Linked DNA regions of Alligator mississippiensis. The protein of the gene in region 1 binds, or shares a complex with, the protein of each later gene. Links are inferred from orthologs where the notes say so. Each region holds a gene or a part of one and is shown in the gene's direction. Other genes may lie near its edges.

Region 1 (3,744 bases):
CTTCTCATATCGGAAGGTATGAATCATTTGTCACAAACTAAAACGAGTCGGTAGTCAGTTTAAAATGAACAGAAGGAGGCTCGCTCTCTGGCAGGGTGGAGCACCCTGCCCACGGCCAGGGGACAACGGGTCCTTGGAGGGAAGGGACAGCAGTCAGTTGCTACTGAGCGCGGGAGCGGGGGCTGGCGGCTGTGAACCAGGGATGCCTCGACCGCAAATCCTGGAGGCTACAAGTGGGAGAGGCACAGCGGGACATCAGACCCGGGTCGCCCTCCCCGTCAGCACCTGCTCTCTGCCCCGGCCAGACAGCAGGGACCGGGGGGCCGACCCAGAGCGCGGGCTGCGCTGGCCGCGGACCCCGGCGCAGCGGACAAGCCTCGGCCCTGCAGCAGCGCGGAGCAGCAACAAGTGAAGCCCGAGGCTTGGCCGAGTCTCCTGGATGGATGCCGGGAGCCTCTTGCCCGCGTCGCCGAGCCCGTACGGGGCCGGCCGGCAGCAAGGCCGGAGGCGGAGCAGGCTGCGGACACAAATCCTCGCCCCCACCCCCGGGGCCCGCGGCGCTGGAGGCCTCCCAGGGCCGGGCAGCGCGGGGAGCCGCCCGCAGCCGCTGCCCCATCCCGGCGGGCGGGCCGCACTGACCTGCGGGCGGCCCCGGCCCCGGCCCCGGCCTCGGCTCGGCGGGCGGCGGCCCGGCCTCCCGGGGGCTCTTCATGGCGCCGCCTCAGTGGCCGGGGGCCGAGCCGGGCTGCGGGGGTCCCCTCATGCCGGCGCCGCCGCCTTTTGCGCGCCCCGGCGCTGCTGTCGGGCGGGGCGGGGCGGGGCCGGGGGCGGCCCAGGCGGGAGGGGGAGGAGCGGGAAGGGGACCGTGCGCGCCCAGCTGCACCGGGACAGGTCGGGGGGCCACGGGCGGTCGCCGAAGGGGCTTCTCCCCGCGCCCCACAGGGAGAGGGGGCATGAGGGGGCTCCTGTGCAAGTGCCCGGGGCCGGGTGGGGCACGCTGCTGCCGAGGGCGCATGGCGTGCGTGGGCGGAGGCACCCTGTCGCCACTCGGCGGGGGGAGGCGGGAGCAGGACGCGGGCGGAACCTTCCCCCTGGCCGCCGCGTCCCGCCGGCCCCTTAGCGCGGGGACACCCGAGTGGCGCGTCCCCGTTCGACCATAGAGCCGGGGCGCCGCGGCTTAGAGCTGGACGCCGGACTTCCGGTTCCGGCGCGCGGGGCAGGGCGGGAAGTGCGAGAGGCCATTAGAGCGCTGCTGCGGGCCGCACGTTGTGAGCTTCGTGCTAACGGTGGGTGGCGGCCGGGGGAGTTGGCCGCGGTTGGCGTCTCTTAGGGGCGGCGTATTTGTTTCCCCAGAGCGCGTCGAGGCGCCTTCTGCCGTGACGGGACCCCGGGCAGAGCCCGCGGGAGGCGCTGACCGCCCCCGCCTTGTCTTGTTCTCTCCCGCAGGGTAGAGCCGCGCCGCCGCTGGGATGTCGATCGGGGTGCCCATCAAGGTGCTGCACGAGGCCGAGGGCCACATCGTGACGTGCGAGACTAACACGGGGGAGGTGTATCGGGGCAAGCTCATCGAGGCCGAGGACAACATGAACTGCCAGGTAGGCCGGGTGAGGCCCCTACTCTACCTCAGGTGCTTGTCTGAGTGACGGGCTTAGGGTTGGTAAAACACTGCAGTGCTGAAGCGGAAAGCAGGGAGCTGCACATCTCAGCTTGCTTCTGAGGCCGCTTCTGTTTCTACCATAAACAGACACTTATCCTTTTACCAGGTCTGAGTATGTGGTGCTGGTGACAAGAGCTTCTCATATCATCAGCCAGCTTGAGTTCTTCCTTCCTTCCCCAGAAGAAATTTTTTTCCCCTAAGTTTATTTTATAATTGCCTTTTTTTGAAAAGTGTGTCAAATCGGGCTGGGGCTTCACTGTGGCTGATTTGAGGCCAAATGTTCACATTGAGCAAAGTATTTCCTTGGCTGATGGAAGTAATGAAGCATGAAAACATCTTTTTCTATAAAGAAGCCTGTGTGGAGGTGGTTAACCACGTTAGCCTGAAGTCTCTGATTTGGTTAGTCGAAGGAACAGGATGTGTTGCAGTTACTCTAGTTAAAGTGTTAACACTTAAGCCACCATGTGGACAGTCTCCCTCCTCTGGGATACTGTGAATAGATGAGTGTGCGGATGACTTAAAATGCCCAGTCTGACACATGCAGGAGGAAAGAAGAGTATTTAAATGTTCTACAAGGCAGTCTGTTGCTTTCAAGCTGGATTTACAGCTGTGCAACACTTGGCTGTTCATTAAGTACTAGGCTATGTAGCTTGGTCTCTTCTCTCTTTCCCCATCATGTTATTTACATGCTCAACTAATTTAAATCTGCTGTGTACTAGACCCAAACAGCTCTTCCTATTTCTAGACTCCACACCCGAATTCTGGAGGTAAAACTCATTGTGTCAGAAGTATTGAGTAGCTTTTGTCTTCCAGATGTCCAATATCACAGTGACATACAGAGATGGGCGAGTGGCACAGCTGGAGCAGGTGTACATTAGGGGTAGCAAGATCCGGTTCCTCATTTTGCCAGACATGTTGAAAAATGCTCCTATGTTAAAGAGCATGAAGAATAAAAACCAGGGTTCGGGGGCTGGACGAGGCAAAGCAGCTATTCTCAAAGCCCAAGGTAAGTACTTCTAGTTGGTTCTTAGCTTTTCTGATAACGTACTGACATGGTAAAATGGATGCATCGAGAATACTTCAGCACAAGTGGCTTGGTATAATTTATTATTAAAATATAAAAGTTGGGAGTTTAGTTGCCAACCTGCGGTGCAAATTAAATGATTGAGTAGTTTGGACTTCAGTTTGTCAGTATAAATTTTGTAGTGCTTCATTTAAAAAACAAAAACAACACATCCCCAGAAACAACCTAGGAAGTACGCTGATGAAGATTTTTTTTTTTTTTTGAGGCAAGTACCAATAGCTGACTCTTTTCAGGAGGCATCTGCTGGTATTGATCGGACTTCTGATACCAGCCCAGCAGCTTGGAGAGCTGTGTGCAGCTGCTGAGTCTGTTGTGGTGGAAGGGGCCAGGAGGAGCAGATCAATGACCCCGCAGTGAGGGAAGGAGTAGGTCTGGGGCTGGGGTAAGTGCTGCCCAACTGGGGAGGGTGTGGGATGGAGCTGTGGCTTGTCCGGGAGCCACTGGGCTGGCACTCGCCTGGCAGCTCACACCACTGCTCCTGCTGCTCGTCTAGGGGGTGGGGGTGGCATTCCCCCCCCCCCGATCTGGGTGTGATGGGCTGGGAAGAGCCCCTCCCAGATCTGGGGGCACATGCCCCCCTTCCCCCATGCCCTCCCGGATGAGTGGTGGGAGCCACTGGGCAAATGCTGGACCGGTGACTCCTTGACAAGCAGCGTGCAATGGTGGGAGCTGCCCCATGCACCCAAGACAAGCTGCAGCTCCATCCTGTGCCCGCCTTGTCCCAGCTGGGCACCTCTTGCCCCAGCCTCACTTCTCCCTCATGGCAGGGACCTTTTGATCTGCCCTCCCCCCTCCCCTTCCCATCCCTTCTACCACACCAGACTTACTAGCTGCACACAGCTCTCCAAGCTGCCAGTCTGTGCTCCTTGCTGACTGTGCACTGCACTGTAGCTATGCGCGCACACAGGCATTTATCAGCCAAATTATTGGCCACATCAAGCCAATTTCCGGTTTACGTTCAATTTTCTTTATGCCAGTGCTTATCCGATATCGGACCAATGTA
Region 2 (3,744 bases), on another chromosome or scaffold:
GCAGGGCAGGCTCTACGAGGAGAGGCTACGGGACCTGAACCTGTTCAGCCTCCACAAGAGAAGGCTGAGGGGGGACCTGGTGGCTGTTTACAAACTAGTCAGAGGAGACCAGCAGGCACTGGGGGAGTCCCTGTTCCCCCGAGCACTCCCAGGAGTGACTAGAAATAACGGTCACAAGCTGGCAGAGGGTAGATTCAGACTAGATATCAGGAGGCGCTACTTCACTGTCAGGGTGGCTAGGACCTGGAACCAACTTCCAAGAGAAGTGGTGCTGGCTCCTACTCTGGGGGTCTTTAAGAGAACACCCTGCCAGGGTCGTTTGCCCCCAGTGCTCTTTCCTGCCACGGCAGGGGGTCGGACTTGATGATCTGCTCAGGTCCCTTCCGACCCGACCAACGATGAAACCACGCCCCGTCAGGATGTGCATTCAGCAGCATTGCAGCTACCTCGTGCTTTGAGTTTTGAATGTTCTCACGGCCTCTACTCAAGGGATTATAGGGGGGTTGTGGCCCACCCTGACAGGCCTGATTGGTACTTATTGGCTCCACTAGAGTTCCCACCCAACGTCGCGATCGGCCGCTGGCGCGGGTGTCATGCGCGAGGCAGATTTACTTCGTGATAAGAAGCAAAGTTCTTTGAGGCATTTAATCAAAACACCTCTTTTCTCACAAAATCCATTGCATCAGACTAGCAATTCTCAGCCGGGGCGCTGAGCCACCCTCTGGTGCCACCAGATCCTGTGAAGGGTGCCACAAACAAATAAGTCATGGCCAGGCTTGTCCCTGCCTGAACGACCCTACACCCCCGCTTCTCTGTGTTAGGAGCTGAACACTGTAATATCTATATTGGCCGCGGGTCAGCCGGGGGGGCGGGGCGGGGCGGGGCGGGGCCGGCGGCGGAGGGGTGTGGTTTGCATCCCCGCCCCGTCCTCCCAGGCTGCAGCGCGGCGCGGCGCCATTGGCGGTGAGGTGCGTTCCCCTTCGCCCTTTCGGCGCGAAATCCCGGCTCTCCTCACGCGGCGCTGGCGGGACCCGAGCTCAGGCACCAGCTGCAGCCTCCGGCGGTACGTGGGCGCGGATGCGGCTGCGGGCGCCGCCGCTTCCCCGCGGGCCGGGGCCGCACTGGCAATGGCAGCGTATGCTGTTCCCGGCGGGGGCCGGCACGTGGGGTTTCAGCGTTGTCCCAAGTAACGCCTCGATGTAGCCATGGGCCTTCTCTGGACATGGCGGAGCAGCCGAGATGCCTTGCTTTTCAGCTTGCCTTTAGGGGAAAGTCACAGCTCGGTTTTCAGTTCCTGTCTTACAAAGCTTTCACCTTACACTGCGCGACTTCCTGACTTATCAGAAGTGTGTGTGTGTGTGTGTGTGTGGCAGGGGTAGCATCTATGGGTGAACACCTTGATAGCTGGCTGACTTGCACACTTAAATGGTGTTTCTCAGGCTATTAATGAGATATTCCCCAAGTCAGGTTTAGCTACTGGGCCTGTCATATTTTTTCACTCCATCTCGAACAAGAAAGCTGTGGTTATTTTGCAGGAACGCACACCGTTCCTGTGGCTAACGACAAGCTACGGTTCACAGTGGACAAATGCAGTTTTCTTATGCGCTTATACATTTTTGCTGTTTCTCTTTTGTAGTTTTCACTCGATCCTGTCTGATTGCTGTTTCGAAATGCAGCGTAAAGTGCTTTATATTAGTATATAGTTTACAATGTAAATGTTTTTTTATGTTTTTTTTTTCCTTCAGTAGAGCAACCATTTCTGAGTGTGAGGCAGTTGTGGTGGCACCGAGGGAGCAGGCACCATGAGCAAAGCGCACCCGCCTGAGCTCAAGAAGTGAGTGGAGGATGGGAGCGGGGTGGAAGAGAACTCCGTATTCTTGCATCCCCCTGCATCCTGGCATGCACCTTGTTCTGGCCTGCGGCTCCTGCCCACCAAGGCTTCCCCACCCCACATGGTCCCCCAGCCCTGCTGAGCATGTGGTTCCCCTCCCATGTGGCTCTATGTACTGGGGTCCTGCTCTCCCTCCACCCCTCACCTTTCCTTTGCTAGGGGAAGCCAGGCCCCCAGTAGCTGTTGGGATAACAGCAGGGCAGCTGGGGCTTCAAGCCTCCTGGGTTCATGGTGTGGAGGGAGGGGGTAACTGGTGGCAGGGGCATGTCTGGGAGGGAGGGGGTGTCTGGTGGAATATGTTGTCTGGGGAGTGGGGTACACCAAGGGGAGGCAAAATGGCTGATTCAGCCAGCAGCTGGACTCCCATTTCCCAGCAGCTGCTGCCTGCATGGCTGGGGCCAGTCTCCATGGAGACCTCAGCTATGGTTGTGCTGTGAAATCTCCAGGCTGGGGTTGCCGTGGAGACCAGGCCCGGGCTAGTGTCAGAGCAGGGCAGGGGGCTGTTCCAGAGCCCCTGGGATTGTGCGGCAAGGGCAGCTTGCTCTGGAGCCAGGGCAGAGCCACGATCTGTAGCCTGCATACTCTGGGCAGGGGTGTGCAGGCTAGGGATCGTGGCTCTGCGCTGTCTCCAGAGCAAGCTACCACTATGGGAAGATCCCAGTGGCTGTGGGACAGCTCCCTGCCCTGCTTTGCCAGGAGCCCTGCCAGTGTGGCTGTGGCTGGTCTCCATGGAGACCGTCCCCAACCGTGCTGGGAAATGGAGTTCGCTGCTGACTGGATCTGGCCTGCGGGCCAGACTTTGCCCATCCCTGACCTAGACTGTGCAGGGAACAGGGGTCGGTTGCCTGCCCTGGGTCAGTGCCCCAAACTAGGAATGGCCTCTTGGCAGTGTGAAGAAATTGTGGCCCCTCTGGAGGGTTACAAGCCAGGGCAAAGGGGATGGAGTGAGCTCATGGGTGTCTCCTGGTCTAGCGCAGAGGGTATTGGGCTCTTCCCATGTCTTGGGCTCAGAGATGTCCCTTGTGGGGAGGGGTGAATTGGGGCAACTGCCCCGGACCCCACGCTTTGGGGGGCCCTGTGTCAACGGCTCTGTCCACATGCTGAGGGTGCAACCACTCCACACACCACCGGCTTTACGCTCCGGCCACTCGCCACCCACCCGCATACACAGGCCCTGCCCAGGCTCTGCCTGGGCTGGGTACAGAGGGCAGAAGCAGTGGCCAGTGGAGGCTCCAGAGTGAGCAGCCAAGGGACCAGCTGGGCTGTGTTGGTGCAGCCCCTGCTCGCTCCTCTGCAGCTCATGTTGGTGACACCCCTGATCTAGAGTAATTTTTTTCAGTCCAGATCTGTGAATAACGGCTGACGGCTTCTTCTCTGTTTTTTTTCATTGCAGGTTCATGGACAAAAAACTGTCATGTGAGTTATTTCTATCACTTCTGAGGTCCTGCTTTTTAGACATCTGTGTAGCAATGCTTTGCATGTTGGTTCCAGTCAGCAGCCTTCCCTGGGTGCTGTCTTCCCATGGGAGTTGCAGGGGAATGTACTGTGCTGTGAGAGAGAGCTAACAGAAGTGAGGGTCTTTGAGGATGTGGTCCTATTGCTGTATTGCTCATTGCTGTAAAAGACACAGGCAAATACAGAATAAAAAGACAGTCTCTCTCCATAGTGTTCCTAATCTAAGTGGAGGAATGAAAGGCAGTGGTGCCATAAATCTGGTCAGCATGAAAAAGGGGTGACTTGATTCCTGCATTTTGAAGAGTATCATGATTGAATTAGCAGTTCAGAGTTTGCTAATGTTGGCTGCCTTTCTGAAAATGATGCTGCATTTCAGTACATGAAGTTGTAGGGTGGCA
Region 3 (3,744 bases), on another chromosome or scaffold:
CTTCCCCAACATCCCTCTGGTGACAGAGTGCTGGTGTGGGGCTGGCAGCACAGATGTGCACCCTCGCCAGGCCATGGCCTACCAGTGCAAGGAAGTGGCTGATGTGTACGTGTAAGTGTATGCATAGGTACAGGAGCATGTGCAAGTATGCATACACGTGCAGGTGTGTGTGTATGCATGTGTGTGCAAATGTGTGCGTGCATACATGTATGCATACAGGTATGTGTATGCAACCATGGGCACGAGTGCAGGAGTTAGTGCATGTGTAGGCATACATGTATGTGCAAGTGTGTGCATGTGTATACATAGGCAGGCTATGTTCTTTGAATAGATGTGATCTCTTTTATTAGACCAACAGAGCGGTTGGAAAAATGTTTTTGGCAAGCTTTGGGGTGCAATCACCCTTCTTCAGGAAAGGAGAGTCTCTGCTGATCAGAGACTCCCCATATATATGTATACACCCACGTATGTGTAGGTGCACATGTGTGTAAGCGTACATGTGCATATATGCAGTGTGTGGGTATGCATGTGTGTGTCTGTTCAAGTGTGCAGTGTGTGCAGGTGCATGTATGTGTAAGTATGTGTGGGTGTATATGTACATGTATACAATCTGCGTGTGCATACTGGCACATGTACATGCATGCAAGTGAGGGTGCGGCCGGCAGGTGTGTGTGAGTATACATGTGTGCTTCCGTGCCTACGCACAGGCTAGGCCAGGTCTGCATCACCACGACACTCTTGTCACAGGCAGGGTGCGTGAAGACGAGTTGCAGAGGGGGGAGGGGGGGGATCCCGGCCGTTGCCCGCCCCACCCCCCGCTCTCACCTGCGTCTCCCCCGCGCCGCCGCTCCTCGAGCCCGAGGTCAAAGGTCACCAGCCACCGCCCCCTCACCCGTACACAGCGCACAGGCGGCGATCCGTGAACAGGCGCCGGCCGGTGATGGACGGCTTGCGGCGGCCAATCCGCGCGAGGGCCGGGTCGGGCCGGGGGCGGGACAGGAAGTGCGCGCCGGGAAGTGCAGCTGTCAGTGTTTACCTCCCCGCCGCCGCCATCACTATGGTCTGCGAGAAGTGTGAGTGCACAGGGCCCTGCCTCCCTGTCCCGCGGGGCCGATCCCCATCCCCCGGGGGGGAGGGGCCGGGGCAACGCTGGCTGCCATCGGCAGCACTCACCCACCCCTAACCCCCTTCTTCCGGGCTGCATTCGGCCTCGGGAGCCCGGCTCCGCCCCCTCGCAGCCCCCGGACCGGGATTGCCCCCCCCTAGGGCTACCATATTTCCAGGTCCAAAAAGAGGACACCTGTCACGGGTGGGGAGTGACCTGCCCCTGCCCCTGCCAGACAAAGCTAACCCCCTGAAGCCCTGCTGCTTCCCCTCCCCTCACTCTGGACCCACTGACCCCCGCCCTGCCAGTGCCCTTCACTCCCACCCCCCAGTCCCCTGCTCCCTCCCAGTCCTGGTGGTGACCCTCACTCCATGACCCCCACAGTGCTGCCAGTGTCCCTCACTGTGGACCTGTAGCCTCTGCCCCCCCAGCTCTGCTGGTGCCCCTCACTCTTGACCTGCAGACCCCTGCCTCCCCTGCCCTGCTGCCCAAGCAGCTCCTGCATTGCGAGCATGCCCGTGTGCTCTCTCGCTCTTTCTGGTTACACCTGGCTTGTTGAAGCTGGTGTGGGGAGCATGTGGCCCCTGACAGCCAATCGCCTTGCCCAGCTTGGAGCAGCCAGCCCTGGAAAGGAGAAAAACTGGACATTTGCTATTATTTTAAAAACCTGCCCGGATGCAGCATAGGAGTCAAAAAAGAGGACATATCCAGGAAAACCCAGAGATATGGGAACTCTAGTACCTGGAGCCTGGTCCCAACCCTTCGTATCTCCCTTAGGCCAGAATTGGCCCCTGGGAGCCTGGCTCCACCCCCACCCCTGGCTGGGATTGCGCCTTGGGAACTTGCCTTCCTCCATCTCCACTGAGATTGGGCTGCCAGGAGCCTGGCCCCGACACCCTCGTAGCCTCTCTGGCCAGGATTGGGCCCTGGGGGTGGGCACTGCCCTGCCTGGCTCTGCAGACTGTGGTGGGGCCCAGTCCAGTGCAGGGCCTGGGGCTCCCCACAGGCCTGGGAGTTTGGCCATAGGGGAGCAGTGCCACAGCCCCCCACCACCCTATTTCCAGACCTGTGGGGAGCCCACGGGCCGATGGCATGACACCGTGGGCTGGGGGTTGAGCTCCCGTGTTACAGTGCACGCCCCTTCACAGAGGGGCCCCAACAGGGACAAGCCTGAGCCTGCAGCTGTATCTGCTTATCCCTTCCCACCTCGGGGTACTTGGGGGTACCCTGCTTGGGGCTTGTGGCTTTAGTAGAAACCTTCTTTTTGGCATTTTCACTTACATCTCCTTGCTTTTTCCTCTTCTGTCTTTTTGTGCCATAGGTGAGAAGAAACTGGGCACTGTGATTACCCCTGACACGTGGAAGGATGGGGCTAGAAACACTACAGGTACTCTTTTTACTTTATTTGTTTATTTGAAGTATTTTTAAGCATTTACTTAGAGAAATCGTAGTATTCATTACTCAGTAAGCATTGAACCAGTTAGGTAATTAAAAGGCTCTGTGAAGCATCTTACAGCTCTGACAGCATGAAGCAGCTGGCCTGTTCCTTTTCTTCACTTTAACGTACTGCAGCTTCTTTTTCATTTTCTGTGGGAAATGTCACAATTCTGACTTCTCGGTACTGCATTCCTCCAGCCATGATTTGTTCCAGTGTGAAGTAATGATACTTATCATGTGTATTGACGTATGTGTGTACTGGAGAAGTGCATAATTCACCTAATGGAATAATACAGTGCCAGTCTCAGTTTTACACTGCAACAAATGTCAGTCAGCCTCTTGGCTAATCATATAAATTATGCCTGCCTAGGAACCTTTTTGGCCTGGTGTCTTTGTAATATACTCTGTTTAACTGCATAAGAATCGGTGACATTAACTAGCAGCAAAACTGACTAGCAGCTCAATTGTCAGGCTTTTAAGAGCAACCCAGAAACTAGCTTGGTCCTGTCAGGTTGAAGACTCTTGTTAGAGACATAAGGGCTCTGAGTAGCAAAGTAAAGAGACTTAATGAAGTGCAAGCTTCTCAGTGCAAGGCATTTTGTCTGAATTTATTAACTAATTCATCTTATATAGTGCCTTTAGTATTGAAATCAGTAGGCTTATACTGTACTTTGCACACGAGTTATTGTCTTCTGTAGCTGTTGGGTGTTTTTTAGGTTAAATTCAGATGAGTGAAAACTTATACTTTTTAGTGCCAAGGTATGTACTTTCATGGACTACGTTGCTTAAACAGAACATAAAGTCCTTTTGTTGCCTCACATTTTAGTCCTAATATGTATACAATATTCAGTTTCTACCTGCCAGCTTTGCTTTTAATTGCGTATTCTAAGACTTGGCTTTGAATTTGCTGTTCTTTGAGCTGACTAGTTAGTCTGCATACATTTGGTTATTCTTGGCCATTTATAGGCCTTTGGCTTGTATGTTGCCTCATGCCATCACATATTTAGTAGTTAAAAAAATCCATATCCTAAACAAACAAATACTAGCTTTAAAATAGGATGATGAAGTATAATTCAATATTTACACTCCTATGAGAGAAAGGAGGGGGTACTAGTAGTTCAGGCACAGGACTTTAGATGGGAAACTACTAGGAACTTCCATTTCTAGCTGTGCCCCCGACTTCTATATAACATAGGATAAAT

The links.
Region 2: SNRPD3 (region 1) and SNRPG share a complex: the UniProt entries of both Homo sapiens proteins name them as parts of the U7 snRNP complex. The link is inferred for Alligator mississippiensis from reciprocal best matches to the Homo sapiens genes SNRPD3 and SNRPG.
Region 3: SNRPD3 (region 1) and CRIPT share a complex: the UniProt entries of both Homo sapiens proteins name them as parts of the minor spliceosome. The link is inferred for Alligator mississippiensis from reciprocal best matches to the Homo sapiens genes SNRPD3 and CRIPT.

Annotation. Positions count from the first base shown.
Region 1 is NC_081833.1:19,338,030-19,341,773, reverse strand, and holds the start of SNRPD3 (small nuclear ribonucleoprotein Sm D3), read left to right. Parts: upstream 1-858; 5' UTR 859-891; intron 892-1,191; exon of another isoform or gene 1,192-1,286; intron 1,287-1,446; 5' UTR 1,447-1,469; coding exon 1,470-1,595; intron 1,596-2,470; coding exon 2,471-2,663; intron 2,664-3,744. Other genes in the region: protein GUCD1, read right to left, coding at 286-616. UniProt on the Homo sapiens protein: Plays a role in pre-mRNA splicing as a core component of the spliceosomal U1, U2, U4 and U5 small nuclear ribonucleoproteins (snRNPs), the building blocks of the spliceosome.
Region 2 is NC_081830.1:13,252,506-13,256,249, forward strand, and holds the start of SNRPG (small nuclear ribonucleoprotein G), read left to right. Parts: upstream 1-890; 5' UTR 891-968; intron 969-974; exon of another isoform or gene 975-1,063; intron 1,064-1,745; 5' UTR 1,746-1,802; coding exon 1,803-1,834; intron 1,835-3,284; coding exon 3,285-3,307; intron 3,308-3,744. UniProt on the Homo sapiens protein: Plays a role in pre-mRNA splicing as a core component of the spliceosomal U1, U2, U4 and U5 small nuclear ribonucleoproteins (snRNPs), the building blocks of the spliceosome.
Region 3 is NC_081824.1:199,220,488-199,224,231, forward strand, and holds the start of CRIPT (cysteine-rich PDZ-binding protein), read left to right. Parts: upstream 1-974; 5' UTR 975-1,057; coding exon 1,058-1,073; intron 1,074-2,426; coding exon 2,427-2,492; intron 2,493-3,744. UniProt on the Homo sapiens protein: As a component of the minor spliceosome, involved in the splicing of U12-type introns in pre-mRNAs. Involved in the cytoskeletal anchoring of DLG4 in excitatory synapses.